Linked DNA regions of Arabidopsis thaliana. The protein of the gene in region 1 purifies or fractionates together with the protein of each later gene. This does not show direct contact. Each region holds a gene or a part of one and is shown in the gene's direction. Other genes may lie near its edges. The genes, in order: AT1G23935, HAP13, AT4G35410 and AP19.

Evidence for each region.
Region 2: the proteins of AT1G23935 (region 1) and HAP13 fractionate together in Arabidopsis thaliana (co-fractionation; one large-scale study listed by BioGRID). This does not show direct contact.
Region 3: the proteins of AT1G23935 (region 1) and AT4G35410 fractionate together in Arabidopsis thaliana (co-fractionation; one large-scale study listed by BioGRID). This does not show direct contact.
Region 4: the proteins of AT1G23935 (region 1) and AP19 fractionate together in Arabidopsis thaliana (co-fractionation; one large-scale study listed by BioGRID). This does not show direct contact.

Annotation. Positions count from the first base shown.
Region 1 is NC_003070.9:8,458,728-8,466,746, forward strand, and holds the start of AT1G23935 (apoptosis inhibitory protein), read left to right. Parts: upstream 1-3,029; 5' UTR 3,030-3,211; coding exon 3,212-3,280; intron 3,281-3,417; coding exon 3,418-3,511; intron 3,512-3,588; coding exon 3,589-3,654; intron 3,655-3,756; coding exon 3,757-3,797; intron 3,798-3,927; coding exon 3,928-4,023; intron 4,024-4,100; coding exon 4,101-4,181; intron 4,182-4,307; coding exon 4,308-4,373; intron 4,374-4,475; coding exon 4,476-4,544; intron 4,545-4,831; coding exon 4,832-4,942; intron 4,943-5,042; coding exon 5,043-5,135; intron 5,136-5,234; coding exon 5,235-5,281; intron 5,282-5,388; coding exon 5,389-5,593; intron 5,594-5,711; coding exon 5,712-5,788; intron 5,789-5,815; coding exon of another isoform or gene 5,816-5,868; coding exon 5,869-6,097; intron 6,098-6,226; coding exon 6,227-7,168; intron 7,169-7,288; coding exon of another isoform or gene 7,289-7,291; coding exon 7,292-7,419; intron 7,420-7,655; coding exon 7,656-7,760; intron 7,761-7,860; coding exon 7,861-8,019.
Region 2 is NC_003070.9:22,366,797-22,375,351, reverse strand, and holds HAP13 (Clathrin adaptor complexes medium subunit family protein), read left to right. Parts: upstream 1-3,128; 5' UTR 3,129-3,466; coding exon 3,467-3,595; intron 3,596-3,959; coding exon 3,960-4,106; intron 4,107-4,205; coding exon 4,206-4,268; intron 4,269-4,411; coding exon 4,412-4,588; intron 4,589-4,671; coding exon 4,672-4,775; intron 4,776-4,878; coding exon 4,879-4,986; intron 4,987-5,125; coding exon 5,126-5,222; intron 5,223-5,307; coding exon 5,308-5,405; intron 5,406-5,517; coding exon 5,518-5,659; intron 5,660-5,760; coding exon 5,761-5,883; intron 5,884-5,964; coding exon 5,965-6,063; 3' UTR 6,064-6,399; downstream 6,400-8,555. Other genes in the region: AT1G60783 (cyclin-dependent kinase inhibitor SMR2-like protein), read right to left, coding at 1-179; AT1G60770 (Tetratricopeptide repeat (TPR)-like superfamily protein), read left to right, coding at 6,704-6,931, 7,146-8,393. UniProt on the Arabidopsis thaliana protein: Subunit of clathrin-associated adaptor protein complex 1 that plays a role in protein sorting at the trans-Golgi network and early endosomes (TGN/EE).
Region 3 is NC_003075.7:16,827,432-16,834,502, forward strand, and holds AT4G35410 (Clathrin adaptor complex small chain family protein), read left to right. Parts: upstream 1-4,907; 5' UTR 4,908-5,140; coding exon 5,141-5,143; intron 5,144-5,492; coding exon 5,493-5,579; intron 5,580-5,652; coding exon 5,653-5,853; coding exon of another isoform or gene 5,854-5,883; intron 5,884-5,961; coding exon 5,962-5,997; intron 5,998-6,108; coding exon 6,109-6,195; intron 6,196-6,290; coding exon 6,291-6,365; 3' UTR 6,366-6,571; downstream 6,572-7,071. Other genes in the region: AGF1 (AT-hook protein of GA feedback 1), read left to right, coding at 2,172-3,071; DRL1 (dihydroflavonol 4-reductase-like1), read right to left, coding at 6,660-6,807, 6,901-7,071. UniProt on the Arabidopsis thaliana protein: Subunit of clathrin-associated adaptor protein complex 1 that plays a role in protein sorting at the trans-Golgi network and early endosomes (TGN/EE).
Region 4 is NC_003071.7:7,551,041-7,558,837, forward strand, and holds AP19 (associated protein 19), read left to right. Parts: upstream 1-1,951; 5' UTR 1,952-2,081; coding exon 2,082-2,084; intron 2,085-2,914; coding exon 2,915-3,001; intron 3,002-3,090; coding exon 3,091-3,182; intron 3,183-3,267; coding exon 3,268-3,376; intron 3,377-3,475; coding exon 3,476-3,511; intron 3,512-3,599; coding exon 3,600-3,686; intron 3,687-3,775; coding exon 3,776-3,847; 3' UTR 3,848-4,123; downstream 4,124-7,797. Other genes in the region: HMG2 (3-hydroxy-3-methylglutaryl-CoA reductase 2), read left to right, coding at 1-140, 229-569, 690-941; AKR2B (ankyrin repeat-containing 2B), read left to right, coding at 4,830-4,869, 4,954-5,096, 5,180-5,392, 5,490-5,638, 5,714-5,870, 5,996-6,088, 6,366-6,505, 6,604-6,703. UniProt on the Arabidopsis thaliana protein: Subunit of clathrin-associated adaptor protein complex 1 that plays a role in protein sorting at the trans-Golgi network and early endosomes (TGN/EE).

The DNA of each region.
Region 1 (8,019 bases):
TGAGGACGAGCTAAGGAGCTTGAAGAGCTGACGAGCTACTCTGTCTCTGGGTGTCCCGGCCAACTGGGTCAACTTAGCTACTCTTGTATTTTAAGTTGTGTATTGACCGACCAACTGGGACAACTTAGCTACTCTTGTATTTTAAGTTGTGTATTGACCGGCCAACCGGGACAACTTAGCTAAACGTTTTGATTTTAATAAAATCCTAAAACACATAAACCATTTCAGAAAATAAGTTTGTCCTCTACACATAAACTACGCATAACATTCTCAAATACACAAAAAGAAAGTCCTATTTTGACAGACACCTAATAGTCCACACACACACATAAGCAAGAAAGAATTTTCAAAGTCCTACTTCTTCTGTCTCTTCCTCGTTTGCTTCCCCTCAGTTGTAAACTCTTCCCCCTTATACTTGGAAGGTTTCCTTCCACGTTTTTCCCCAGATTCCAGAGTAGGACCAACATGCTTTCTCTTCTTCTTCGATATCTGCTTCTTCTTCTTCTTCTTCTTATCCTCTTCATCGGACTCATCGCTGCCATCACCTACAAAAATATGTAACCAAACATCTAAGAACTATTGTGAAAGCATCACTACACAAAAGTTCAACAAAAACTCACTTAGAGACTCAATAGTTGGAGGTGCTGGGTCACGGATTCCACTGTGAATAACCAAGGCCTTGCTCTGAGTATCCCTTGGCTGATAAGACGGTGGCACAAAATCAGCAGCTGAACCAGGACGCATATCTTCATATTTGTCTTTTTCTGCCTCTTTCTCAAGCTGATCTGCCACATATTCCTCTATTCCTTGTACTCTCACACAAATCCGCTTGATTTCGCTATCCATCACAGCAAGCTTGTCCGTGAGCTTGTCAAATCCTCTCTCCATAGCTTCCTTGAACGAGAGAATCGATGTTCCAGGGATTTCAGGTTCAGGTACAGCTGGAACATCATCAACAGTTTCAATACGTCTACCATCAATGTCTGCTTGGTAGAGACTACGCCAGAAAATCTTCTTTTTCTCTACGATAAGCCTCTCTCTCCAACTATCAACAATCGGATCGATATATCCAATACCATCATCAACATGCTTCTCTACAACGCGTGACAACATTTTTCTCTCATCCATATCAGGTTCCAAGATGCTTGAAATATCCTGTCAAGTAAACATATATTTCAAACACCACAAAGATTATAAACATAGATTTCAAGAGAACAAAGCTAACCGTTATATCTCCAAGTGCTTCATTTATTTCTTCCAAAGTAAATCCCTTCATGCAACTTTCACTGAACTTGTGCTTGCACATTCTTGGACATTCCTTGTCTGCAGGTACAGCTTCTCTAAATCTCTTCCCAAGCTGCGGAATGCACTCAAATGCCAGAATCTAGACACAAAAACATAAAAGTAAATGCAAGTTCACAATAACAAAATCTAGCCACTCATATAATTTACTCGACTACTTACCTCAAGTGGAGTAATAAATCCATAAAAAGCAGTTTGTGCCTTGGGTTTCACCACACCTATCATGTTCTTCATTACTCTCCGCACCCCTTCCATACACTGCTCAAAAGAAAAACGTCCCCACGGGAATGTCTCACAAGCTCTGACATTATCCACAATCCTAAGAAGCAACTCCTCTATCTTCGAATCCCCTTTAGAATCAGCTTTCATAACCTTAGCTAAGAATAACAGAATTGTCAACTTCAACCTAGCAGTAGACTTCTCACTCTTAAACTCTTCCAGCTTCTCTTCCACGTCTTTAATCTTGATGTCCTCAGTCCTCTTAAACAACTTCTCAACAAACTTCAAACTGCCTAAAGTCTTATAGTTTTTTGGGTACTCACGGCAGTTCAAACCGGTCAACAATGCATGCTCTCTAATTGAGTACCTTATAGGTACTCCATTGACAACAAACCAACACTCTCTCGCCAATTCTGTCTTAGCCGTGCGAACCATAAGCATCCACATGCCTTGAATCATGTGATTGGGCTCCTTAGGCATGTGGAATATGTGCTTAAATTGGTCATGATTCCTAAACCACTTCAGTTCTGCATCCAAAGTCTCTATAAATTCCACTGTTTGTACCAACTGACACCTCGTTCCTATCTTACACACCTTCGTGTAGGTAGTTGGATCAAAGTACATAACTTCTGGCGGCAATGGTTGATTATCATCATCATCATCATCATCATCATCATCCTGCATATTCTGCGGCTGAAGATCATCATCACCATCCTGCATATTCTGCGGCAGGTTATCATCATCACCATCATCCTGCATATTCAATTCAAAATACTTTCAATTTCACATTAACTACCTAGTTGTACTACTTGTTCCTGAATGACCATTCACAAATTTACGACCTAGTTGTACTACTTGTTTTATCTGAAGCACCATTCACAAATCCAATCATTTACCAATGCATGCATAATATCCTAAAACGAGCCTAATCAAAAAAATAACGGTCTTCTATCATACCTTATTTGCTCCATCATCATGTTGAACAACTGCATTCGTTGCCTCTTCTTCTTCTGCACAAGAATCGGCATTTGGGTCTGAAAGATCGTCATTTGATTCCCATGCGACGGCGTTTGAATTACCCAAATCGGCGGCGTCACAATCGCCGGTTGTAGGCTGAATTTCTCCGGCTTCCTCTTCTGTTGTAGAAATTTCGCCGGTCGCTTCAACCCTAGTTGATTCATATTCTCCAGATGAGTCTTTTACTCTAGCCATATGAAAGAGACAAAGACGAACTGAAATTGGTGGTGTCGTCGGAGACGAGAGAAGACGACGACGGAGAGAAGAGGAAGAAGTCGAGAAGTGAAAAGGGGGAAGAATTAAGTTTTTACTTAGGTTTTTTCTGTAGTTAGGGTAAATAATACAACTGGGCCGAGTATTTACATTTTTCTTTGGGCCCGAGCCCAACAAATTAAGTTTTCGTGGTTTCGCCTGGGTTTTTCGTCATTTCGTCATTTTTCGATTTTAATAAAAATTAATAATATTATTTTAAACATAAGAATGGCACGAGTGATTATTTCTTTTCCAATAGTGGCATAAGAGGTGAGCTCTCGGTTCCAGGCGGTGAGAAAGACAGAAAGAGAGCTAGCGAAGGTACATTTAAAGTGAGATGGAGAGTGAGAAAATCTGTTGCTAAAAGCGGTTCACCGGAGAAGATACAAAAGCCGGCAGCAAAAAACTTCAACTTTCAGTCATGTCAAACCCGGAAATGAACAAACTTCTCAACAATCTTGAGCTCAAAAAACTCTTGGGAAAATCTGAGGTGTGCTCTTTGCGATTCTCTGTGTTTGTTTCCATCTGTTTTAGAATCATTTTTTCCTATTTAGAGCACAATGCGTAAGTCTATTTTTTTATATTGTTAAATGGATTTATCTAAGATTATGTAGCTTTTGTTTGTAGGTTATATCTATCTGCGACATTGAGCTGATATGCAAACATCAACCTGAGCTTATATCTAAGATTATTGATGTTCTTGTCGAATATCTAAATACTGGTACTTTGGTTATTTTGGTTGTTTATCCTTAATTTACTTATTCTGCTTTCACAATTTAACTCATATGATCAAAATAGAGAAACCGGTGGAGTGTGATGCCGTGCAAGAGGTTTTTATGGCGATGGTTCATGTTGATAAAGAAGGTAATTTGATTTCTTCTGCATTCATCTTCATTGTCTGAATTGTATGAAAGGGTGAGCATCATAGCATCTACTTATGTCTCCTTTCTTACTTTCTTGGTGTAGCATCTTTGACTGCAATGTTGAACCATCTTGCTAATTTCAAGGTCAGAGTCTTTTCTTTATCTTTTTTTGTTTTGTTTTATTTTCTCTATTTTTAGGCTAGCTCTCTGTTTAACTTGGTACAAAATGTTCTGCTAAATAAATTGAAAATTTTAATAATATGTACTCATGTAGGTGCCCGATTTGAAGAATAAACTGCCAATTTTTATTGAATTGGCATTATACAAAAGCAATTTAACGAAAAGACGTATATCGGATGTACTAGAAAAGGTTTGGATTTCATATGTTCTTCTTTGTTTCTTTACGTATGTATTTCTCTCCGTCTGATTTTCTTTCCATGTTTGCAGAGTCTACAAAAGGAAAGTGAAGCAGACTTGCAACGACTTGCACAATATTTTGAAACAAAGGCTGGTTTGGATACATTTGATGTGAGTATTTCATGTGACGCTCTCAACCTATTAGTTTCTGAACTCAAAACGTCATGGTTTCTGAAGCTTTCATTGTTGTGCCGCCGAACTACTTCTGATGTCCACCAAATATTATTTTCCCTGTAGGTTTCAGATGCACATTATGTTGACAGGTTTATATCATGCCTGCTAATGGCTGTTCCATTCTTTGCGGTATGGACTCAGATTTATTGTTGCATAGCACTTTTGGATGTTAAATAGTTAAAAAGATGCTTTGAGAACCATAAATCTTACGAACTGTCTTCTTTTGATTAGAGAGGTGCTCCAAGCAGCAAGTATTTTGAGTTCATGAACCGTCACCATATCTTGCATCATTTTGACAAGGTACAACATATCTAAATTTTTTATTTTCTGTTAACGTACTTGAGACAATAATTTTGTCTGTACATGATCTCTTAGTGGGCATAATAGGAGTAGAGTACTAGTTAATGGCGTTGAGGGTACGAAGTCAATTCTTAATTACCCTCAACTTGCATGGAACTCTTTTTGTTCGTAAATAATACTGTCGCTTGGCTATCTTCGTCCTTTTGTTAGTAAAATCTTTATTATTGCTCCAGACGTGAGCTCATTTTGTTATAATCATAATCTATACCAAATCCTTTTTTCACTAGCTGACAGAGCATAGGAAGCTTGATTTTCTCAAATCTCTTGCTGAAATGTCGTCAGACACAACAGCTCAAGCAGCAGGCCAGATGCTTCCATCGATAATTGAGCTCTTAAAAGTGAGCTCTTAAAGGACCATAATTAATACACTTCTCTAGTTTAACATCTTTCACATATTTATGGACTTATCTATTATTGACTGTTGTCATTTTCTCTCAGAAATGCATACCCGATACAAAGATGGAGAGAGAATCCATGAATATCTCATATATTGAGTGCTTATTATATGTGCTCCATCACCTAGCCATTAAGGTTATATAACTTTGTTTAGTTGTTTTCTAACTTCATTTAGTTGCTTGGCCAAGTCTCTTTGTCTTTCTTGTAACTTATGTGTTTCTGTTTAATGTATAGGCTCCAGCTGCAGCAACAGATTTTTGCAACGAAGAATTTATGTTGAGGTATTGTGAACTATATTACTATGATATTCTGTTTTCTTCTTATAAAAATTTGTTTTCGGTATTTTGCTTCAACATCCTGCATTAATACAGAATTAATGTTGTTGCAGATTGGATTGTGTTAGATCTATAACTCGGGCAAGATTGAAGAAACTAGACACAACCTTAGCTAAGGACGATAAAAAGGTTTTGGAAGCTGAGAAATACGAAAAGAATAATGATTGGCTGATGAAAATGAAGTTCAGATATGAAACAAAGAGGCAAAATACGAAAACTGAGTTTCGGAGCTGCAATAACATACTGGCCATTAGAAAGGTTGCAAACATAGCCATACCTTTTTCATCTTTTCTTCCCTTTTTATCTAGGTATCCTGTGAATCTGATTTAAGCTACTTATACAAATCTAAGTATCTAACCGTCTATACATGTTACAGTTATTGAAGAGAAAAAAGTCTGGCTTTGTCAAACTTTCTTGGAAAGAAGCTAGGAAGGCATTGTTAACCTCATATACGTATAAACCCAATTTATTGTCAACTAGGTGAAATCTCTTTGTCTTCTCACAGGACTCATCTACTTCTTTTATCTTCTCAGAGACAGCACATGCCCGATAGCCCCTATAAGGTCTGATGCGCTTGAATCCGTTTCAAAGGATTGTAAGCTAAACCTAGATGATACAGGAATATGCGATCTAACCGACAAGCAAGTTCAAAGTATTCTGGATTATTCAAAATATCATCAAGTTTCTCGTAACAAAAATGGTGCATGTGTGTTAAATGACAATGATGACATCGCTATGCTCGGTTGGCAAATGAAAAAATCGGTAAACATTTTAAAACTCTTATTTTACCGAAATCTTTTACACCGGATATATGTTCCTATATGGGAGCTTAATCAATAATCAGATATCTTCTCCATTTTACCTAAATCGTTTTTGATTTACAATATATAGGACTTAAGTTTCCTAGAGACGGCTGGGGAACAGGGTAGATCGGGTGAGGTTAGAGATCAACTTTTTCACCTTCTCTGCTGGGCCTACGCAGGCTCTGATCTAGTTAGTTACCAGAGATTGTTACAGAAGTGGGAGAGGAAGACACTTCCTCTTTGTCCTTGGTATTTATGTGCCTTTTGCGAGCCAGAAAAACTTGGAGAAGAGGAAATACTTGATAGAAATGGAGAAAAGAAAATACTTGTTGATAGACATGGTCGTGTACATCATTGCTATGGAGGTACAATTGAAAAAGCATTATGCCACGTACAGAGCCATGGAATTCCAAGGGATGTTGTCACCAATTTCCTTTGCACGGATTATCATCCCCCAAGTGCAGATGAACCTGATATGGAAAGAAGAAAAATTAAAGGATTTCGAAAAATCAACACTTGGAAGGATGTTGTAGAGGCGCTTCAAAAGCAGCAGATAGTGGGGGCAGATTTGCTTAATTACAGTCAACTGATGATGACTTCAGGAAAGTATATTTACAAAGGTCCCATGTCACGAATGAGTGTTTACGTCGGATATCACGCCGTAGTAATAGAGCAGATTAAGAAAATGAATGGAGAATGGGTTGCTGTTTGCAAAATGAGCAATGGCACGTTGGTGGCTGATTATGGATACGCTTATGTTTCCATAGAAGTTCAGTACATGCCTGTTGGTGCATCTGATCTGAAAAGGAAGAGGATACGAGGTTCAGACCATCCAATGCATCTCCTTACCAATTTCATCATCGTAGACATGGTGGAGGCAGATGAGAATGATAGAAAGGATGCAGAAAGTGAAGAATCAGAAGAAAAAGACTCAGAAAATGAGGAGGAAGAGGATTATATTCCTAAAGCAAAAAGAGGTCTTACTAAAGATCCTAAACCAAAAAGAAGTCGTACTGAAGATCCAACAATGGTAAGCATCAAAGTGGCAATCTCACTTCATCGTTTGCTCCATGATTAATATGCAGATGCTTTTTGAGAATTATTGTTGGCTTCAAAAGATATGCAATGACTAACTAACTGCCATGAGTAGCAGGTAAAGGAATCTGATGCAGTGGGCGATACCGGGGATGCCATTAGTCGCCATAACTCAGATTCGACTACAAAAGTGATGGAATTGGTTGCTCTAGTGAAGCTGTTATCTGGCTTTCCTTCTATTTCAAAGTATGCTCAAATTTGTTTAATCTCGTTGAGCTATCTGTTTTTATCTTAACTCGTTCATCTAACATCCATTTTCAATTCTAAACATGCGCACTAAGTGTATAAACAATGAATTGGGCTGTCTACCAGAAACTCTAGCGTGTTACACTCTGAAAAAGGATCAGAAATTTATTGTAAATGTACATCCTGTCCTCAACTCTCTTTTGGTAACTAAATAGTTCTCTAAAATTCAATGGCAGGAGAATTAAAGACATAATTGTGAAGCAGAAAGGAAGCCTTCTTCTTGGAATGCAGCAGAGAGCTATTGAGTACAATTCTATAGTTGACAGGCATAAAAATATCAGGTGGAATCCCTTGTGCCTCTCTTCCTCATCTATCTTCTAGTGTAAGTTTTTCATATTCTCTCTCCCTCAAAGCTCATGATAGAGGTATGTGTGCATACAGGTCTTCTCTGGTTGACAGAATGCCGGTACTGGATGAGGCTACTTTCAATGTGAGGAGGGCCGGCCATTTTCCTGCATCAGCTTCAACAATGGCTCAGTTTTCAGTTAGCCTTCCAAATGGTGTTGAGAAACCTGCTGTGGACTTGCTATTTGATGAAGA
Region 2 (8,555 bases), about 14 Mb from region 1:
GCTGTTGGAGTCGTTGGACAGAGATCTTCGTCTTCCGTGTTGGATACGGCAGAGGAAGAGAGGCTAATCGGCTTCACCGTAGAATGTAAGGAGATTCCGGTGATGACGCATTTCTTCCCTTCGGTAGTTTCGCTAAATTTTCTGTCAAACTGGTGGTAAGTCTTGCCGGAAAATCCCATAAGTTATCGTATGAAGTTAAGAGAGAAACAAGAATTTTTTTTGATGTAAATGAAGGAAATGGAGAATGAAAGAGTAAAAGATTAGGTTGTTGTTAAAGTAAGACTTGTTTGGAACGAGAGAGAATGTGAAGAGAATGAAACATGTGATTCAGAGAAGGGGATTGGTCTTATAGTCAACAGTGACTTCAAGACAATCGATCGTTCGATGTCGATTCAGTTCAGTTATTTTTTCCACGAATTTTTTTTTTCGAAAATTCGTATCTTAGTATTTATTTCCTTGGTTACATTAAAAGAACGTAACGAAGAGATAGTGACATTGAGTGTACATTGTATCTTTTATTAAATGTGAGAGAATATCCTTTTTTGTTTCTTTTCTCAAGCATAAAGAATGTAATCATGGTATTTAAAGCATATGTTTAATGTGAAAGAAATACAGTATTATGTACCCTAAATGGAACAACTTATTTTGATATACGTTCTTAAGTTATTTTTTGATACATAATTTAGTGGTGATGCCAATAGTTTTTGTTTTAGTCATACAAACTGAAAGGTGCTATAGTTTTTAAAGGGTGGTGCAAAAGATATCGATCGTAGTCAACTAAAAAGTGCCCTAACTAATGATTACGATAATCCGTTTTATATTGGTCGAAGTTAGGTGATTAAAATATGGTTTCTCTACAAGTATTTTGTTTGGACACTGCAAATAAAACCTTCATGCACATAAATTCTGGAACCATCTTCATTTTTTTCATAATTAATCTCTATCATATATAGTAGTATAGACCCCGAAGTAACTTAAATACCAATTATGTATTATAAATACGGATTGATAACATTTCATATCGAAACATTTCATACATTTTATATCTGTAATGTTACAACCAGTCTAAAGCCAAGGATTCTAGAAACTAGAAACAAATTTTACTAAAATTAATTGAGGGAAAACTCAAGAATGTGTGTGTGATCATTGAAGAAATGAAGAATGTGTGTTAGAGTGAGTGAATATTCAAAAGACTCAAATAGGTTTTTAATGAACAATAGGGAACCCGAGGAAACGCGTGACTCTAAGATATATGAATTTATTTTGCACTTATTACTTTTGATTAATTTTTATATTCTAACCCTTTTTTATATACTATTTTTTTCAGTGCAAGTAATGAATGAAGTAACGAGATGAGAGTCTAGTTTCAAAGTTTTGAATCTTTTTGGTCAATGTCGTCTCTATTTGTTGACCATATTATACGTTTGACTTTAACCCCATTTTTCTTTAATCTCATTCTTCTTCTTTGCTTCAATGGTTGACGAATTCTTACCGTAGAAGTTGCATCTAAATATACCAAAGATTAATACTGCGAAAATATGATAAAGAAGATTTTTTTTTTTTGTACTCTCTAGAAATTTGTAAACGATATTATTAGTGTTTGATTAAAGACTCCAATTTTTAACATAATGTCTATATCCACATAATGAATTTGTGTCTCTACTATATGTAGTGTTCCCGTCATATATGCATTTTTGCGATAGTCAATCGGATCTTTGTATTGCGGTTAATTGATCTGGTCTTTCTTGAGCGTACAAAATAAATAGAATTGTACGTATTATTAGAGATGGTTACATTTGGTTTACATTATTAGTTAAAGTTAACCAATAATGTAAACCAATAAAGTTAACCAATAATGTAAACCAAATGTAACTATCTCTAATACGTATGTTGACTATGATGTACTTCAAGACAAGTTCATCATCACTTAACGTAACTAACACTATATTAGTTAAGTTCAAGACTTATTGCCCATGATTCATTTGTAAACTATGAAGTAACATATCTCTGATTTTTTCCTCTTATGTTTGATAAATTAGTCATTATAATTAGTGTCTTGCCAAAAAGTACACTTCTATCTTATTAGCATTCTACATTACAAACTATTAATTTCACTACGTATAGCGGTATAGGGAGAAGATCAATAAGGCGATCACAATATTAGTTAAGTTCCGAGTCTTGCATTACCATTGTCCTATGAATCACAGAACAAGAGGACGCATATATATATAGTATTTATAAAAGACTAAGATAGTCACAGAACAAGAGGACGCATATATAATTGACAAATACTCAAAACATGTGAAAAGATAAGGGCTATTACGTCTTCATTAAGATCCCATAATCTTTATGATGAGAACTTAAGAGCCAAACTAGCTATGTAACAAAATATCAAGTTTGAAAGTAATAAACTGCTTGAATAAGCTTCAAGTTCACTACATGGTTTAGAAAGGTTTAAAATCTATTACTTTCAAACGCTTTTATTGTGTACCAATCAATCCAACAAAGTATGCAATCGTACTAATCAATCCAACAAAGTATACACTCACACCGGTAACATCAAAAATTCAAAAATTCAAAATTTCATGTTACCAATCAATCCAACAAAATATACAATCCCTGAGACCGAGTTATAATTTGTTGGAATGATTGGTACCAGTGAAATTGTGTTGTCGTGTGAACATCAACACATAGGAGGTAATATACGTAAATATGCTAGCAATCAAGCTAAGTATACAAAACACTTCATGTTGCAGTGTTCTATTGAAATTTTATATATCGAACTAGAATACTATCATGGAGAATGATCAAATGTTGCATATCTTCATATCCACGAAAAATGAGTACACAAACATTCGATCATACCCCATGACAGTTTTCTAGTTTATACTTGATAGTCCTCACGATTTCATGGTGGTGACACTACACAAACCCTAGATTCCCCTAAAGTTTTTGTGAAAAACGCATATGTTCGATTTTAGGTTTTACTTCTATCCTTGATTCATTACAAACCTATTTTTATACTAATTCGTCGTTAACCTAATAATTTTAACCTACGAAACCCAACCTATATGGGCCTGACTTTATGTAATGATCCAATGGGCCTTTCTTCTTCAATGATGACTTTCTTCATTGACTCTCCTTCTACTTTCGATGGTATTAAATTTGACGGAAAAAGTAAAACGATACCGTCTGGGTGAAAGGCAGAGCTCTTTGCTTCTGAATATTATTATTTTCTTAAATTCTTCCGTTTTTTTTTTTAATCCAACCACAAGGATCGATAACGAAATCATCAGATCGCCAGAAAAAAAAAAAAAATTGCGAAATGGAGAATCTGAGCTGCAGATCTGCGTCAATCTCCATCTAGATGTTGTTGCTACTTCTTCCTCTATAGAACCATAATTTCATCAGATCTCGCTGATTAATCATCCCCATTTGGATCTGATCGAAACTCTTAGGGAAGAACATGGCAGGAGCTGCCTCCGCGCTGTTTCTGCTTGATATCAAGGGACGCGTTCTCGTCTGGCGTGATTATCGTGGCGATGTCTCCGCTGCTCAAGCCGAGCGATTCTTCACTAAGCTCATCGAGAAAGAGGTTGTTCTGATCTTCCTCTTATCGCTAATTGGTCTTTGTTTATTGCTTGGTTACTGTAGAATTTTCAGAGAAACATAGAGTTAGCGAACGAACTTGTAGATTTGTGTTTGAAAGATTCGTCAATTGGAATTGAAACATTTCGAAGATAATGGATTCGTGTCCATTTTCATCTGCACTGGAAATGAATTTTGAAGATAATGGATTCGTATCAGTCTTTGTGATCTGATGCCGCTGAAATTTTTTGGAAGTAATGAACAAGTTTGATCATTGGTTAAATGTTTTGGATTAGAATTTGATTTGAATCTGTACTTTTGAAGCATTCTGGTTTAAATCAGAGTAATCATCGTTTTGTTTAATTGTTCAGGGTGATTCACAGTCAAATGATCCAGTTGCTTACGATAATGGGGTGACTTATATGTTTGTACAACATAGTAATGTATACTTGATGATAGCATCCAGGCAGAATTGTAATGCTGCCAGTCTTCTCTTCTTTCTTCACCGCGTTGTCGATGTAAGTATGGCTGGTCAATTCTTTAGTTTTTCTCTTAAGGTTCCATCTTTTTCCTGGATATTTGATGTAATGGCAATGGTATCTGTTATCTGGTTATAGGTTTTCAAGCATTACTTCGAGGAGTTAGAAGAGGAATCATTGAGGGATAACTTTGTGGTAGTGGTATGTTAAGCTTCTGTCATCGCTCTTTTAGTACTATTTCGCAATATATTTTTCTATTACTTGGGCAATCAAAAAGATCCTTAAAATTTTGGAAAAGTATTTGTCATTGTTAGATGCTGAAATTGATTTTTTGGTGCTGGCAGTATGAGCTACTTGACGAGATGATGGACTTTGGTTACCCTCAGTATACCGAAGCAAGAATTCTCAGTGAATTCATCAAGACTGATGCATATAGAATGGAAGTTACACAGAGACCTCCAATGGCTGTGACGAATGCTGTCTCCTGGAGGAGTGAGGGAATACAGTACAAGAAGAATGAAGTGAGTGCCATTGTTTTCGCAAGATAGGAATATGTTTCTGATGTTTCGGTTTGCAAATAATGACAACCTGCTTCTTTTTCCAGGTTTTCTTGGATGTTATTGAGAATGTAAATATTCTTGTCAACAGTAATGGGCAAATTGTCAGGTCTGATGTTGTTGGAGCGCTGAAGATGCGAACTTACTTGACGTATGTCAACACATCAAATTTACGATATAGTTCCTAATCAGCCAAAGCATGTTAAATCACGTCCCTTTTTGACTATTTTGCTCTTTGATCCATTCTATTGCAGTGGAATGCCAGAGTGTAAGTTAGGACTGAATGATAGAGTATTGCTGGAAGCGCAGGGACGAGCAACTAAGGGAAAAGCCATTGATTTGGAGGACATCAAATTTCATCAGTACGTCTTTAAGTTTTTATTATATTGAAACTTGGAAAGTCTTCACTGATCTTAACCCTTCTATTTTCTTTTTGTTCAAAAAGATTATATACTTGAGTTTTATGTATTCTCTTCTTCAACAACCATTTATTTAATGCAGGTGTGTTCGATTGGCCCGTTTTGAAAACGATAGGACGATATCTTTCATACCACCTGATGGGGCTTTTGATCTGATGACATATAGACTCAGCACTCAGGTTTGACATGTGGGATATAGCATCTACTGGAATTGTTCCACGTCTTCAACAAGTAAATATCATGATTTGTTTCTTTTATGTTCAGGTAAAGCCACTTATATGGGTGGAAGCACAAATAGAAAGTCATTCAAGAAGTCGTGTTGAGATGCTCATAAAAGCTAGAAGTCAGTTCAAGGAACGAAGGTAAATATATTCTATGGTATTTGTGCCACTTTCCTTTTCTGTCTTACTGTCATGCAAAGATCCTGATTGATCAGATTCTTTAAACCTTTGATCACGAACATTCTTTTTGTAGCACCGCAACGAACGTTGAGATTGAGTTGCCTGTACCAACCGATGCATCTAACCCCACCGTTAGGACATCTCTAGGGTCTGCCTCTTATGCTCCTGAAAAAGATGCGTTAGTCTGGAAAATCAAATCTTTCCCGGGGAACAAGGTATAACACTAACAAGGTTCAATAAACTCTTAAATTCAGTTGAAACAGTCAGCAATGTAGACTATGTAGTATCAATGCTAACCTTCAGAAAACCAATATAGGAGTACATGTTAAGGGCAGAGTTCCATCTTCCAAGTATCACTGCAGAGGAAGCAACTCCTGAGCGAAAGGCTCCTATCCGTGTCAAATTTGAGATCCCTTATTTCACTGTTTCAGGGATTCAGGTAAGCTTGTGCTTAATAATAAATGGTTACTGTCTCTTCCACAATGTCATATATATAATATATATGTTCTTTGGTGTGTAGGTTCGGTACCTAAAGATTATTGAGAAGAGTGGGTACCAAGCACTTCCATGGGTGAGATACATAACCATGGCTGGTGAGTACGAACTAAGACTCGTGTAATGCACATTTAGTTTCATCGTCTATGTCAATTGTGATTCCCACATCCCTCAAGGAATTGCCTGAATCAAAGAAGCAAAACGAAACAGGACAAAAGTAGAGGGAAAAGAAAACGTTTTGAAACATTTTAGCTGATCAAATTTTCCTTTAATTTGTTTTAGAAGCCATATTCTTGTGAATTTGTCTTTATGGTGATTCTATTTTATTTTACATGAGGCTCTCTGTAACCTTTCACGACATGGTTCATTATTTTCCTTTAGACTGCTACATTTCTGTCTATGTGTTCGTTCTGCGATCAAAATTGTTAAACGTTGAGGTTTTGGTTTTGTTTTTTGGGGCATTCGTCTATGTTTACATAGGTTTCTCTCGAGTTATGATCAAAATGAAACTACATAAACAAATTATGCTTCAATAGAGTGAGGTGAGAGAGCCTTACAATAGAGAGAACGTATATTTTGGTGTTTCTCATATTGTTTAACTGATATAGTATGGGCCGAAATGAAATAATCGTCAGGCCCATTAAAAAGCCCATAATCACCATACTTTCTCCTCCAATTCTGTTTCGAGCTTGGGAAGTGACAGTGAATTAGGGTTTTACTCAAAAAACCTTCTCGTTGTCGTTGTTTACTGCTCCGACGAGAAAATGGCGATGCGACATTTGAGCCGATCGAGAGACGTTACAAAGAGATCGACAAAGAAGTACATCGAAGAACCTCTGTACAATCGCCTCTTCAAAGATGGTGGTACAGAGGTCAAAGTTCGACAGCAGCTTAATCAGTTCCTCAAAGGCACTAAACACGTCTTCAAATGGGAGGTCGGCGATACGATCAAGAAACTCCGAAATCGCGGCCTCTATTACCCAGCTCTCAAGGTTTCATAAATCCAAATTGCATTTTCGATTCTCTAGGATTAGCTTCACAATAAGCATTTGCTTCAAATCTGTTGAATACATATAGAAATGTAGATTCTTAAGTGGTATTTTGATGCTCATTATGAACAATTTAGTAATTGTTGAATAATTTTTTCACTGTGTGATGATTGTGTCTTTAGATTTCATATTGTGGAGTTGTTTTTTTGGTTTGTAGCTATCTGAAGTTATGGAAGAGAGAGGTATGAACAAGACAGTGAGTGATCAAGCAATCCATCTTGATCTTGTTGCTAAAGCTCGTGAAATTACTGCTGGGGAGAATTATTTTGTTGATCTTCCGGAAACATCTAAGACGGAACTCACGTATGGGTCTCTTTTGAACTGTTACTGCAAGGAGTTGTTGACAGAGAAAGCGGAAGGTTTGCTGAATAAGATGAAAGAGCTCAACATTACTCCTAGTTCCATGTCTTATAACAGCCTCATGACTCTTTACACCAAGACAGGTGAGACTGAGAAAGTTCCGGCGATGATTCAAGAATTGAAGGCGGAGAATGTGATGCCGGATTCGTACACTTATAATGTCTGGATGAGGGCTTTGGCTGCTACTAATGATATTTCTGGTGTTGAGAGAGTCATTGAAGAGATGAATAGAGATGGTAGAGTTGCTCCGGATTGGACTACGTATAGCAATATGGCATCGATATATGTTGATGCTGGACTGTCTCAGAAAGCTGAGAAGGCTCTTCAGGAACTGGAGATGAAAAACACGCAACGGGATTTTACGGCATATCAGTTTCTTATTACTTTGTATGGACGTCTGGGGAAGCTGACTGAAGTTTACAGAATTTGGCGTTCGTTGAGGCTGGCTATTCCGAAAACCTCAAATGTAGCTTATCTAAACATGATACAAGTGCTGGTCAAGTTGAATGATTTACCTGGTGCAGAGACATTGTTCAAGGAATGGCAAGCTAACTGTTCTACTTATGACATCAGGATTGTGAATGTGTTGATTGGAGCTTATGCTCAAGAGGGTCTAATCCAGAAAGCAAATGAGCTCAAGGAGAAAGCTCCCAGAAGAGGTGGAAAGCTCAATGCTAAAACATGGGAGATCTTCATGGATTACTATGTAAAGAGCGGTGATATGGCTCGAGCACTCGAATGCATGTCAAAGGCAGTCTCCATCGGCAAAGGAGATGGTGGCAAGTGGCTACCGTCACCTGAAACAGTCAGAGCTTTGATGAGCTATTTCGAGCAAAAGAAAGATGTTAATGGAGCTGAGAATTTGTTGGAGATTTTAAAGAATGGAACAGACAACATAGGCGCAGAAATATTTGAACCATTGATAAGAACATATGCAGCAGCGGGAAAGAGTCACCCTGCTATGCGACGGCGCCTGAAGATGGAAAACGTGGAGGTTAATGAAGCGACAAAGAAGCTACTCGATGAAGTATCTCAGGATGTGTGAGGTCTGTTCCATCTCTTTCTCCTTCATTATTCACTTCAGACAAAGACATCATTAGTCGTGATAGGGTCACTTGCATTCTCACAGCTCTGTCTCTTATTGGTAATAAAAAAATAGGCTCTGAATCGGCAAAATCAATTGTATGGGTCTGTTTTACTTTCACCG
Region 3 (7,071 bases), on another chromosome or scaffold:
AGGTTTTTTTGGATAAAAGTTAAAATTTTAAATTTTGTGTAAACTAATTGGATACATCATCCAAACCCCTAAGAGGTGTTCTAGGTTCAATATAGTTTACGCATTATTAAAATTTTTAACCATTGTTTTCCTTTTAATAAAAAATATTTTAAAACTTATACTTTTATATTACTATTAAAACTTTAAAGGATTTTTTTTATAAGTGTTAATAAATTTTGTGTAAGTGTTAATTTTGTAAAAATAAGTGTTAAATTTTTAAAATTTTAAAGTTTTAAAATATTTTTGGATAAATGCTAGATTTTAAAATGTTGTCTACACTAGTTGGATATATATCATCAAAACTTTTCAGAGGTGTTTTAGGTGGCTTACACATTTTTAAAATTTTTAACATTTGTTTCTGTTTTATTAAAAAATATTTTAAAACTTATATTTTATTATTACTATTAAAACTTTAAAGGTTTTTTTATAAGTGTTAAATTTTTTATAAGTTTAATATGGTTTATACATAATTAAAAATTTTAACACTTTCTTTTGAAAAAAAATATGAAAACTTATATTTTTATAGTACTATTAAAAACTTAAATGTTTTGTTTAAATAATTGTTAAATTTTTAAATTCTTATGTAAACCAATTAAATACATCGTGAAAATCCCTAAGAACTGTTGAAATGTGTCTTTACGCTAAGTAACAAAAACTAAGAAGCCATATTAAGATGCATGTCCATCCATTAGTCGTTGAAATCGAATTAGTATTATTGGCAAGCATGTGCATAAAATTAATTCAGCTTACTTTGTTTGTAACATAAAACACGCCCCCTCTGTAAAGTTTTAGCAATTTTGATATTAGAACATTATAAAATAAAAAAAGCCAAGCCATGTCTTGAGTGGCTCGAGAAATCTAAAAGTTTAAACTAAAAAAGAAATAGGAAGAAAGCAAAGTGCTCATCATGTGAAAATGTGAAATCCACCACTCTTTTCACAAATAACAGCCATGAAGCCCCATTCATTGTCTTCCTCTACTCATTACACACACAAATTCTTTTTGAGCTTTACTCGTCCGATCACTTCATCACCACTCAAAAGAAAATATTCGAAAGTAATCCATATGAGTTTATATATCAGCATGATTAACTAGGAGAGAACAAAATTATTTCCAGTTCATTGTCTAAAATCAAAGTTTTAGGTGGGAAAATAACTACTACTCCTATGTTTTGATCTTTAATAAAAGATCTTGAATGACCAAAACTATTTTTAGTTTTTTTTCAGCAATTGGTTCTTGTCATGTTAATTAAACACACATGATTTATATATCTATAGACTCATGGTAAGAGCAAATGCTAGTATTTTAAAACTTCCGATCTTAATTTTGTAAAAATACTAAAATGTAATAGTTTGAACTTAAAAATAAATAAAAAGAGGACAATCGTTATGTTATTTACCGACAAAAAACACTAACAGATAGTTTGGTCGGTTATAGTTCTTGAAATCAAACAGCGTAACTTGACTTTGGAATAACAATTTACATTCGCTTTGTTTTCTTTTTTTGCTTTAAGATTAGAAAACAAAACAAATCTACAATCATCATATCACCATCACAAAACCATCCCTTCACCGTCACAAAAGGCCTCTCCTTTAACTTCTCTATCTCCGTGATTTACTTCTCCAGAATCCTTCTTTTGTCTCCCGCAGAATCCATCAGTCCCTTCTTAGGTCGTCAACATCTTAATTTAGTTTTTTTGCTTCACTCGAGGAAAAGTCACTACACCAACCCAACATATTATTATATGGATACACAAATATATTTGTATTATTTATATTTATATGTACCTTATTATAGTTTAGAAGAGAGCTGTGTTTTGTGATGCTCTTGCTTTACTTCTTTCTCTCCTTTGTTTCATTCCATTTCACATGAAGATCTAGATCTGGGTCCAGACAAATTTCACCGACCCAGCTCTTTCACATATGTAGACCTCTCTCTCTCTAATTATTCAGTAAGGTTTTGTTCTCTCTTGTCGTCTTCTTGTTTTGTCCGTAGCATTATTAATAATCAAACTCAGTCTCTGAAATACTCTCAGTGACAAACCACTTCTGTCGACTTTTGTCTTTGTCTCTCACTAGCTATAACCAAAAAAATCCAAAAACCCAAACCACAGTTTCTTGTTTTTGTTATCAATGTCTAGTTATATGCACCCTCTTCTAGGGCAAGAACTGCATCTACAGAGACCTGAAGATTCCAGAACCCCACCTGATCAAAATAACATGGAACTTAACAGATCTGAAGCAGACGAAGCAAAGGCCGAGACCACTCCCACCGGTGGAGCCACCAGCTCAGCCACAGCCTCTGGCTCTTCCTCCGGACGTCGTCCACGTGGTCGTCCTGCAGGTTCCAAAAACAAACCCAAACCTCCGACGATTATAACTAGAGATAGTCCTAACGTCCTTAGATCACACGTTCTTGAAGTCACCTCCGGTTCGGACATATCCGAGGCAGTCTCCACCTACGCCACTCGTCGCGGCTGCGGCGTTTGCATTATAAGCGGCACGGGTGCGGTCACTAACGTCACGATACGGCAACCTGCGGCTCCGGCTGGTGGAGGTGTGATTACCCTGCATGGTCGGTTTGACATTTTGTCTTTGACCGGTACTGCGCTTCCACCGCCTGCACCACCGGGAGCAGGAGGTTTGACGGTGTATCTAGCCGGAGGTCAAGGACAAGTTGTAGGAGGGAATGTGGCTGGTTCGTTAATTGCTTCGGGACCGGTAGTGTTGATGGCTGCTTCTTTTGCAAACGCAGTTTATGATAGGTTACCGATTGAAGAGGAAGAAACCCCACCGCCGAGAACCACCGGGGTGCAGCAGCAGCAGCCGGAGGCGTCTCAGTCGTCGGAGGTTACGGGGAGTGGGGCCCAGGCGTGTGAGTCAAACCTCCAAGGTGGAAATGGTGGAGGAGGTGTTGCTTTCTACAATCTTGGAATGAATATGAACAATTTTCAATTCTCCGGGGGAGATATTTACGGTATGAGCGGCGGTAGCGGAGGAGGTGGTGGCGGTGCGACTAGACCCGCGTTTTAGAGTTTTAGCGTTTTGGTGACACCTTTTGTTGCGTTTGCGTGTTTGACCTCAAACTACTAGGCTACTAGCTATAGCGGTTGCGAAATGCGAATATTAGGTTTTATTTATTTATTTTTTGTTTCTCTTAAAACTTGGTGTGTGAAAAAAGAAAACGAACGCTTAAATTTCCTTTTTCTGTTTGTTTTTATGAATAGAATTGGTAAGTTTCATAAAAAAAAAATAGTATTAATTTGTGATTTAATATCTAAACTTACAGAAAAATGTCAAATCGACCATATTAATCGTGAAAAATGTTATTATTAGGGAAAAATGTTATTTAATACCTAAACTTACAAAAAATGGCCAAATTAACCGTGAACTCGTGAAATGGCCGTTTTATCTCTCAACAAAAAGTTGACTTCTATTTTAACTTTTAAGTTTGCGTTGACTCGGGCTAATAAACCACCGTTAAAAATTCTTCTAACAGCGTAATTAACAGCCGTTACAGAACATCCGTTAAGGTGATACGATGACGTTTTGTGCTAAAGAGAAATCAAAATCGAGAATAGAAATTCCCAAAACAAAATCAATTACCCTAAACCCAAATCGAAACCTAATCCTGCCCCCAAAATCAAAATCGAAACCCTAATTGCTTCAATTCGTTTTCTGAAATGCCATTAGTTAGAAAGAATGGCGTCGTTATGAGGATTGGATCTCCAATGCTTCACGAATCAGAGAATTTGGTGGGAGATGGAGTCGAAGCACCACCGCGAGGAGAAAGAGATGAAATTGGAGAAGAAGTTGGGGGTGAAACGAATGTGGTATCTGAGTCTTGTGGCGGAGAAGAGGGAGCACAAGATGCAGCTAAAACAACGCCGGAAGGAGAAGCAGATCGAATTTGAGAGAGAATGATTTTTAGGATTTGGGTTTTGATTTGGAGATTTTTCAGAGGTTTCGTCGACTTTGAAGTCTGTTGATAGCACAAAACGTCATCGTATCACCTTAACGGATGTTCTGTAACGGCTGTTAATTACGCTGTTAGAAGGATTTTTAACGGTGGTTTATTAAACCGAGTCAACGCAAACTTAAAGGTTAAAATAGAAGTCAACTTTTTGTTGAGAGATAAAACGGCCATTTCACGAATTCACGGTTAATTTGGCCATTTTTTGTAAGTTCAGGTATTAAATAACATTTCCCCCCTAATTATTAGGTGAGTAATACGGAGAAAATGGACTTTAATTATATTCGTAAATTGATGTTCACACATTAAGGCTCTAACTAAATCTTCCGATTATTGTCATATAAACATGTTCTAATTTGTGATAAAACTGAACTTCCACTGTCTCGCAGAGAAGGGAAAGAATATTTTGGGAGAACAACTAAAACCCTAATATCTATGATGATGTCAACTTCAAAACACATTGAAACTTGAGAAAAACAAAAATCAAAGAAAATAAAAATAAAGCCTGCATGCAAGAGAATATGCCTTCCCTCCAAGGTTAAATAAAAACAAGCTTATGTGAGAGATTAAGTATGTTCATAACTTCACAATTGTGTCCATTAGTCGCTGCTCACGTTAGTCAGGAGTTATTTCTGTTGGGTCTTATCAAAACTGTTGTTTATGTCTATTTTGATTATGGACTTACCTTTACATTTGCATTTTATATTTTCATTCTTAGTTATAAAAAAATTGCTTATACTTTTCTGTTGTTTGACCCAGCACCAAGTATAAGAACAATTAAAAAATTTGATACCTAAGAAACTAATTCTATAAGATTAATTGAAGAATTATTTTCATTCAAAATCTTTTGACATAATTGCTACGTTTAATGTGTAATGCCCTGGTCTATTCGATAAGATTAAGAAGATAATTGCAATAATGGAACAAAATTAGCTGAGAATGCAATCCGTTTGCATGGATCCGACCCGGAATGCAATCCGTTTTTAATTATGTAAATGACAATTATACCCCTGGCACTCGACATGTTTGACAGTTTGAGCAAAGAGAATTTTTTTCTTGTTGAGGATCATCGATTATCAGTTTCTGGATTTCGCTACTACAGATTTGTCCCGTCTTGAGTTACGAAATCATGGTAACAATGCTCGATCTTCGATTCTGTGTTTACGAATGCTGCCCTGGATTTGAATTTCGCATCTCCGATTCGTTCTTATGCTTCTTCTTCATTAGTTTGATACTTGGATCTGCTCTTGATCGGTGGTTTCAGATATTTCTCTTCAAATTATTCTTTGCAGATAGAAAATTTGGTGACTTTAGTTTGATAATGCTAGCTTCTGGGTTTGATTTTTCGTAGTTTCGATCCTCCTAGTTCAGTTCAATGGCTTCAAATTTGAAACCTTTGTTTGTTGGACTCTTTCTTAAGCTGGTGAGTTGATGATCCTAATAAGAAACCAATGGTGTGTTTTTGATTTGTGTGTTTTCAGATACATTTTGTGCTTCTAGTTAGCCGGCAAGGAAAGGTAAGGCTCACCAAATGGTATTCTCCTTATGCACAGAAGGAAAGATCTAAGGTATGTATTGAGCTTCATTCACACCTTGTTATGCTTTAGCATACATCTCTCATCTTACATGCTATGTATATAGGTTATACGTGAACTCAGTGGAGTGATTCTGAATCGAGGTCCAAAGCTCTGCAATTTTGTTGAATGGAGAGGATACAAAGTTGTTTACAAAAGATATGCAAGTCTCTACTTCTGCATGTGCATTGATCAGGAGGATAACGAGTTAGAGGTCCTTGAGATCATTCATCACTATGTTGAGATTCTCGATCGCTATTTTGGAAGTGTGAGTACCAAAAAAACCAGCACCTGCTGAGATTCCACCTTTACTATCTCTTACCTTAACGGAACCTCTAAATTATGATAAGGAATTGTTTTATCTGATGACCTTCAGGTGTGTGAACTCGATTTGATTTTTAACTTCCACAAGGTAATAGCATGCTGCAAACACTCAAGGACTCTGCCATTCGTCACTTGATTCTCTATCCTCTGCATCTTTATATCTTGCTGACAGTTTCTGGATTTCTTGTTGCTTTCTTAGGCATATTACATATTGGATGAGCTCTTGATTGCTGGGGAGCTTCAAGAGTCAAGCAAGAAAACAGTAGCCAGGATTATATCCGCTCAGGTACTGAGTTGTATGTTTAAGTCATCGACATGAAAATATTAGTGTAGTAGTTTTTTCTTGAGAAATGACAGTCTCTGTCTGTTATGTTGTCAAAGGATCAACTGGTGGAGGTTGCAAAAGAGGAGGCCAGTTCGATAAGTAATATAATCGCTCAGGCTACTAATCGATAAGTAGTCTTATTCATCATCTATGCATTCTTATGCAGTTAAAGTATGTTCCCTGTCTCTGGCTACAGTAATTGTTTTGAGAAATCTTTATCCATTTGATTTTTCTTGCGGAGGGATTTTCGTCTTAAAGCGTAACTTGGAGAGAAGAAATATGTTATGATTTGGTTCATAAACAAGTAAAGATTATATCGTTTGTAATCTTTGATTTCATGTTTTCCAATCCCATTCTTTCATTGTGAATCCACATGACTACTATTTCAGACCAATCTTATTTGCACATATTCTCTAGTCCAAGAGTTATGGAAGAACAGTAGATAAATAGCCTTGCTCGACTAATGAGGCAATGCAGTCATCGAACATCTCTTCAAGGGACTTGAACTTGAGCCCGAGACTCTGTATCTTCGAGGTGTCAAAGTCGTAATGCAACCTATTTAGTTTCTCAAACCTGAAATTTTCAAACAGAGTATCATCATGATCTATGATTTTAAAATTTTACAAGGTTTGAGAGATGGTTTAGTTTAAAGGGTCAGTGTCAAACCTCTTGGGGATAGGGAGTGATGGGTAACGAGCAGATAGGAATGAAACGAGTTCCTCTAGACTGATAACGTTAGAGCTACAAATGTATCTGCCTTGAGCTGCTTCGTGTTCGAAAACGACTATGTGGGTTCGTGCAACGTCATCGATATGAACATACCCCATTTGTCCATGC
Region 4 (7,797 bases), on another chromosome or scaffold:
TGCTGGGAGGAATCTGTATCCGAGGTTTGCGTGTAGTACTGGTGATGCTATGGGGATGAACATGGTCTCAAAAGGTGTTCAGAATGTCTTGGACTTTGTAAAGAGCGAGTTTCCTGACATGGATGTTATTGGCATCTCTGGTAAACTCTTCTTTCCCTCTTTGGTGTTGTCTCGATTTTCGAAATAAAGTTGAACTCTTTTTGATTAATTTGGTGTTATGGTGTTCAGGGAACTACTGTTCGGACAAGAAGGCTTCGGCTGTAAACTGGATCGAAGGACGTGGTAAGCATGTTGTATGTGAAGCTTTTATTAAGGCTGAGATTGTGGAGAAAGTGTTGAAGACTAGCGTTGAGGCTCTTGTAGAGCTTAACACGCTCAAGAATCTTGTTGGTTCAGCCATGGCGGGTTCTCTTGGTGGGTTCAATGCTCATTCAAGCAATATTGTCAGCGCTGTGTTCATCGCCACTGGCCAAGACCCAGCTCAAAACGTGGAGAGCTCACACTGTATGACCATGATTCTTCCCGATGGTGACGACCTTCACATCTCTGTTTCAATGCCTTGCATTGAGGTATAATGCATGTTCTATCTTGAAATTAAACCCATTATTGCAGAGAACACAAAGCCGTTAGTTTTTTGAATTATTGTTGGATCCAACTCATGAATGTTTTGTTTATTGATGTGACTCCAGGTTGGTACTGTTGGAGGTGGGACACAACTTGCATCACAAGCAGCTTGTTTGAATCTACTCGGTGTGAAAGGATCAAACAACGAGAAACCTGGCTCGAACGCACAGCAATTGGCAAGAATAGTGGCTGGTTCGGTTCTTGCAGGAGAGCTTTCACTAATGTCTGCTATTGCAGCTGGACAGCTTGTGAAGAGTCACATGAAATACAACAGATCCAGCAGAGACATTGGCCCTTCGTCTCAAGTCAACAGGTGATGTTTGGAGCACGATGAGACGGATAATAATAAAACAACAAAAACCCATAATTAGATTTGATGTAATTCTAACTTCATTTGATTTCTTCTTCATCGATCTCTTTTCTTTTCTATCTATTTTGTACTAAGTCTCCAAATTTTCTTAATTTATGTAAAGTCTTTTGTCCTTCCATCTTTATGGCTTATATTAATATCATAGCTTAGCATCAAAATGTGTAATTAAATTGCGGTTTAAGCTTTAAAGCCATGATTTTTTTTTCTAACATTGAATAGATTATTGTGGCAGTGTTTGCTTTGTGATGATTATGTACGTGACAGAGTTAGGTACTACTAATAAATGTAGAAATGTAGTTGTGAATATTGCAGACGATGGAGGAGTGATATGGTAGTTTGACAAATGAAGCATTTGAGGCAATGAAGTCTCTCCTCATGGCATGTGTGTGTATGGGTCTTTGATGATATCTTAGAAAGTAAGCAGTAGAGACTGTGCAGAGAGCTAAACCAACAATCATTATTGATTTTAAACCAAAGAGAGTAAGAGTTTTATTATTATTGATTTCTGATTACTTCTCTTACAATTGAAGTAATGAATTTTATGTTACGACAAATTTGATCATTTATATAGACGTAAAAATGTAAATTATTATGCATGCATAGTGACGCTGAGGCTCATACAAGTTATAATTTACTCTCAATATTTTCAGGTTGCACATCAATTGTTGATATTTTGTTTCCTCCTTTGTTCTAACTTTTACAACAATAATATCTCATTTTGAAAAATTGCCTAAACCTTTTAATAAAAAGTTGTGATTTTGTTGCAATTTTTAATCTGTAAAAATGCAATCCGATTAAGTCGGACCGTCAGATCAGTCCTCATCTTGTTTGTTTAACGGTCCAGATTTAAAACACTACCCCAGTAAATACAAAACCAACTGAAGAAAAATAAATAAAAAGTAAATTTTTAAAGAGTCCGACCCGGGTCCCTCAAAAAAAAAAAACTCCGACCCGGGACAAGATCCGTATCCAACAAACTTATATGTGTATCGGACACAGAAGAATACTTTCCACGATCATCAGCTTCTGGAGATCTCTTCTGGGAATCGAGCTTCACTGTTAAAGATTTTCCTTCAATCGGCTAAAAATGGTAACAATCGCCACTCCCTTTGCTTTTGGGCTTCTCTGTTATCTGTTCGAATTTTGGATCTGCCTTCGATCTTGTACTATTGCATCGAGTATCTACGATTTGATTTGATGATGAAATTGAATCTAATCCTCCGGTATCCGTAGATTTCTGCTTGGATCTGTCCGGTTCTTTTCTCGCTTACGAATTGATCGATTATTTAGGAAGTGAAAGGATTAGTTTGTTTCGTGAAGCTTGAAATTGTTATGTTTCTGTTGCCCATTCGAATCTCTTGTGAGTTATTAAATCCAATTCATTGTTTTTGAACCACTATTGCTCTTGAAGTAATTAAGCTTCTTGGATTCAAATGTAATAGGGTCTAAGCTAGTTCATGTACCTCACATCTCTTTATTTGCCTCTGTTTCTGAATTGGCAAAATAAGCTCGTTGATCTCTCCATCTTTCCATATCTTTAAATGGTTTAAAAACTTTTCTTGAGATGCTTGTGGCTTGCGTTTAGGTGTATGATGGTAAATGATTCTCAAGTTCTGGTACTTGATCTCTCACAATTCCCTCTTTTGCTTGCCTTATGCAATTATGTGCATTTCAAATCTTTATGAGTTGCCAGAAATCGTGATATATACTACTGGTTTTGTCTGGTCTTGTTTTAATTCTCTTTATCTCGATGCTGTCTTTGTGATTCTAGAATTTTCTCATGCTTGATATGGGTGAGGAGACGTCAAAAACTAATTAATGTGTTATGTATTGCCATTCACAATGATAGAATAATGCTTTCTTGAAAAGAAAAAAAAAAACTTCTAAGGTGGCTGTTTTGGGTTATGTTTGTATTTTCAGATACATTTCGTGTTACTAGTCAGTCGACAAGGGAAAGTAAGGCTCACCAAGTGGTATTCGCCGTATACGCAGAAGGAAAGATCTAAGGTATGTACAGCTTAAGTGTTATTGAGTTAATGCCGCATTATGCTTTGCATGCCTATTTAATCTTACATTTGGAAAAATGATCTGGACAGGTCATACGTGAACTCAGTGGAGTGATTCTGAACCGAGGTCCCAAGCTCTGCAATTTTATTGAATGGAGAGGATACAAGGTTGTCTACAAAAGGTAATAGACATATTTTATATAAGTAGCATGTATTTGCTACTTTAAAAACAATGGTTATAAACATGATGGTTTTGTAATTTTGCAGATATGCAAGCTTGTACTTCTGCATGTGCATTGATGAGGCGGATAACGAGTTAGAGGTACTGGAGATAATTCATCACTACGTCGAGATTCTTGACCGCTACTTTGGCAGTGTGAGTAAACGCTTATCCAAAATATACTCCTACCACTCTATCATAACCTTACAAAACATCTAGATTTTGATTAAGAGCTGTTTATTCTATGATCTTCAGGTGTGTGAACTCGATTTGATTTTTAACTTCCACAAGGTATACATACTCAACTCTATCAATGATTCTCTACTCTCTGTATTTTACTTCAATATGACAATTTTCGAATCTGGTTGTTTTGTTCTAGGCGTATTATATACTCGATGAGCTGTTGATCGCCGGAGAACTTCAAGAGTCAAGCAAGAAAACAGTTGCAAGGATAATATCAGCCCAGGTATGGTTTCTTAATCCTAATGCCCACTGAGACAAAAACGATTAGTCCGTAAGGGTTGTGTAAATGATGTTGTGTTATAATATTTGAAGGATCAATTGGTGGAAGTTGCGAAAGAGGAGGCGAGTTCCATAAGTAATATAATTGCTCAGGCTACCAAGTAGTCCTTTTCTGAACTTTTCTTATGCAGCTGAAACAATCGTAAATGAGTTAATATTTTCCTTAAACTCTGAGATATTCTCTTCTGAATCACACTTTTGTTTGTCATGTCATGTGATTGTTTGATTGATTAGAAGAAAGAAGCATTCATCGTTTTGGGTTTAAAAGTAGTGATTGATCTGCGAAATCATAAATGGTATACTATTTTTTCACATATGTTACGTTTTAAAACGTGGAATGCTGAAATTTCATCAAGTTCATCATCTCGAAATTATAATTTGTCCGATTGATTGAATAGAATTGGTTTTTGAGCCTGAGGACTGATGCACCAAACAACATGCCAGTGTCTCGTTCTTTCTTCTTCAACGTGCCTAATTTTGTAATTCGGGCGACCTAACCTCATTTTGTGTAACCGTGATCCGCCATGAGAGGAGGTATCCGCTCGAAGAGTTATCCTTTCTCCTCACAAAAGCAACGCCAATGTCCCTTTTCTCACTTTGCCCTGTTTGCTCCTTAGTACTTGTTTCACCAAAATAATCTATAGGATTTCAAATACATGAAGAATGTTTGATGGTAACACCAAAAATAGTGGAGAAGAAACAGACACTTATGGGCTTGGGCTCAAGGACTCGAAACTTGTATACCCAAACTTAAACGTGACTGCGTCTTGTTCTTACCAATCCAATAATTTATAGTAATGATAATAATTCATCTTTCCATATATAATTTTTTTTAATTATTGAAATTAAAAATGAGGGAAAGAATATCCGTTTTCTTTGCCACAAAAACATTTTCATTTGGGGGTTTTCATAATTTTTGGTTCTTCAGCTCCTCAAGCTTCGATAGGTATCGATCGTCTTCACCATACTTTTGGATTTTTTCTGATCACGTTTCAATTCCAATCTGAGAGATCTTCCTTGATTCGATTTCTGAATATATCTCTGTAATTTTTTTTCTGGTTTTTTCTAGGGTTTTAGTAATTTTCCGATGGCTTCAAGCTCAGAGAAAACACCTCTTATTCCTTCAGGTATATATGTTAATCTCGATTTTAGTTTTAGAATCGATTTGGTTGTTGTTTCTTCGAGTAATATAGAGAAATTGTTTTCAACAGATGAGAAAAACGATACCAAGGAAGAGAGTAAGAGTACTACTAAACCAGAATCAGGCTCAGGAGCTCCACCTTCACCTTCACCGACTGATCCTGGGCTTGATTTCAATGCTTTTGATTTCTCCGGCATGGCTGGGATCCTCAATGTAAGTTCTCTTTTGTGGGTGTATGATCATTGAATAGTCAAAGGTTGGATTTTTTCTTGTGTTTGATTGGTTTGTTTATTCAGGATCCAAGTATCAAGGAATTGGCTGAGCAAATAGCTAAAGATCCTTCATTTAACCAGTTAGCTGAGCAGCTTCAGAGATCTGTGCCAACCGGATCTCATGAAGGAGGTCTACCTAACTTTGATCCACAACAGTATATGCAGACAATGCAGCAGGTTATGGAGAATCCTGAGTTTAGAACAATGGCTGAGCGTCTTGGTAACGCTTTGGTGCAGGTACCTTTAATACAAGCTCTTTCGGATCTTCTTGTTATTATTAGTTAGTCAATACTTGAGGTGTGATCATGACATTGAATCTCTGTTTGGTGTTTAGGATCCACAAATGTCTCCCTTTTTGGAGGCTCTTGGTAACCCTGCAGCATCAGAGCAGTTTGCAGAGCGTATGGCGCAAATGAAAGAAGATCCTGAATTGAAACCTATACTAGCTGAGATTGATGCTGGTGGTCCTTCTGCTATGATGAAGTAAGCATGCCATTATTTGCTATAAATTATTAGGTTTACTTGTGTTCATGGCTAATAGTTGATTACTGGTGTTAGGTACTGGAATGATAAAGATGTGTTGGCAAAGCTGGGTGAAGCAATGGGTATAGCTGTTGGAGCAGACCAGACTGTTGCAGCTGAACCTGAAGAGGCCGAAGAAGGGGAAGAGGAAGAGTCTATTGTTCACCAGACCGCTAGTCTTGGTGATGTCGAGGTAAACTGATTCATACACTGTTAGTCTCTCGTGTTTCTGACGGTCTATATTTTATACTTAAGTCGGAATCATTGATCGAGGTTAGCTCATAAACTCTCTGTGCATTGATTTCCTGAACCAACCAGGGTTTGAAAGCTGCCTTGGCATCTGGTGGGAACAAAGATGAAGAAGACTCTGAAGGAAGGACTGCTTTGCATTTTGCATGTGGATACGGCGAGGTATGTCAACGTCTCAACAAGCCTTAACAAAAAAAACTGTCGAAATGTCACTATCACAGAATCATGGAAGGCAGTATATACTACCAATATTTACTAGCATCATGCACTTGATGGATAAGCAGCTTCGGTTTCACTTAGTAGATTATTACACAATTATCTGTAGCATTCTTTACAAAGGAAATTGACAGTTGCCATTATTACATCTGCAATTAGAAGTTGTTATAAAAGCTTAATCCGAAGTTTGAACCCAGCTGACCTAGGTTGAGTTTGTATGTAGGTGAGATGTGCTCAGGTTCTTCTGGATGCTGGAGCAAATGCAAATGCGATTGACAAAAACAAGAACACACCATTGCACTATGCTGCTGGTTATGGAAGGAAAGAGTGTGTAAGCCTCCTCCTAGAGAATGGTGCTGCAGTGTAAGTTTGCAACAACAAGAACACAAATTCGATTTCCAAACAACTTAGTAATGGTTATATAAGACTCTTTTAAGTGTCGTTTCATTTTCTGTTTGCAGAACTCAGCAAAACATGGACAATAAAAATCCCATTGATGTGGCCAGGCTAAACAATCAGCTAGATGTGGTGAAACTACTTGAGAAGGACGCTTTCCTCTGAGCTGCTTTGACTCTTGAAGGATATGTTTCTTCTCTGTCATGTAATAGTGTCACAGAGTCTGATTGCAACCTTGTCTTCTGTGGGGGTTTTCATCATTAAATCTGGAAAAAAAAGATGGAGAAAATGGATGTTTATTATGGTTTTGTAATGAATTATTTTCTTCTTGAATTGGTTTTTTCTTTTGGCTCTTAAAGTCTTTTTTGTCCTTCTTTGTGTGCCACAGGGCTTTAGTGTTGCAATCACAAAGAAAAAACCCTTAAACTGTTATATTCGAGAAGGAATAGACTGTTTAATCAAATCGGTGATAAGATAATTTGGAGATTTTTAACATGCCAACCGTAAATTAGAATGAAGAGTAGAAAGCCCATAGAGGATAACGATACTAATAGATGAGATTTGTACATAAGTAATGTGCAGAATGGAAGTCGATAGAATGAAATGCAAAAGTGAACTCAAGAACAGCAAAGATGATAAAACTTGGACCTCAAATCATCTTTGGCTCTTTGCTGTTTCTTTTGTTTTCTCTCTTGAAAGTATTATTGAAAAAACAGTAAAAAAAAACTCAAAATTGAGGTTACTTCAATTTAACAATAGTAAAATCATCAACACAATTTTTTTTTTTAAAGACATCTTAATTTTCTAAAATGGATATACAAAATCATATCTTGCACCTCGGAATTTGGTCCACCTTAGACGTTTTTAGTGGCAAAAATTCCCGGATTTATGTGGATTCCAATATTAGTCTAGGTTTCGGCATAGAATTCTCCTGGTTAATTAAAAATATGTATACAATGTTATAATTTAATCAAACCAACAAAATAAAAAGAGTTTGTAAAAATTTCAAAATAGTTCTTTCAAATAAATTCTGAACAGTCTTTTAAATTTATTTTTAGTGTTTAGTGTGTCATATGTCATATGTATACAAAAACTTAATTTAAAATTTGTTATTTTGAGTGAGAGTTTTAACTGTAAAACTAAATATACGATTTTACAAAAAGTAATATAAATAAATTAAGCATTATTTGGAAAATAATGTAAAGCTGATAATTATATTCCTAATTTTAAATCCATATTGTTTCCTTAAAGAATATTTC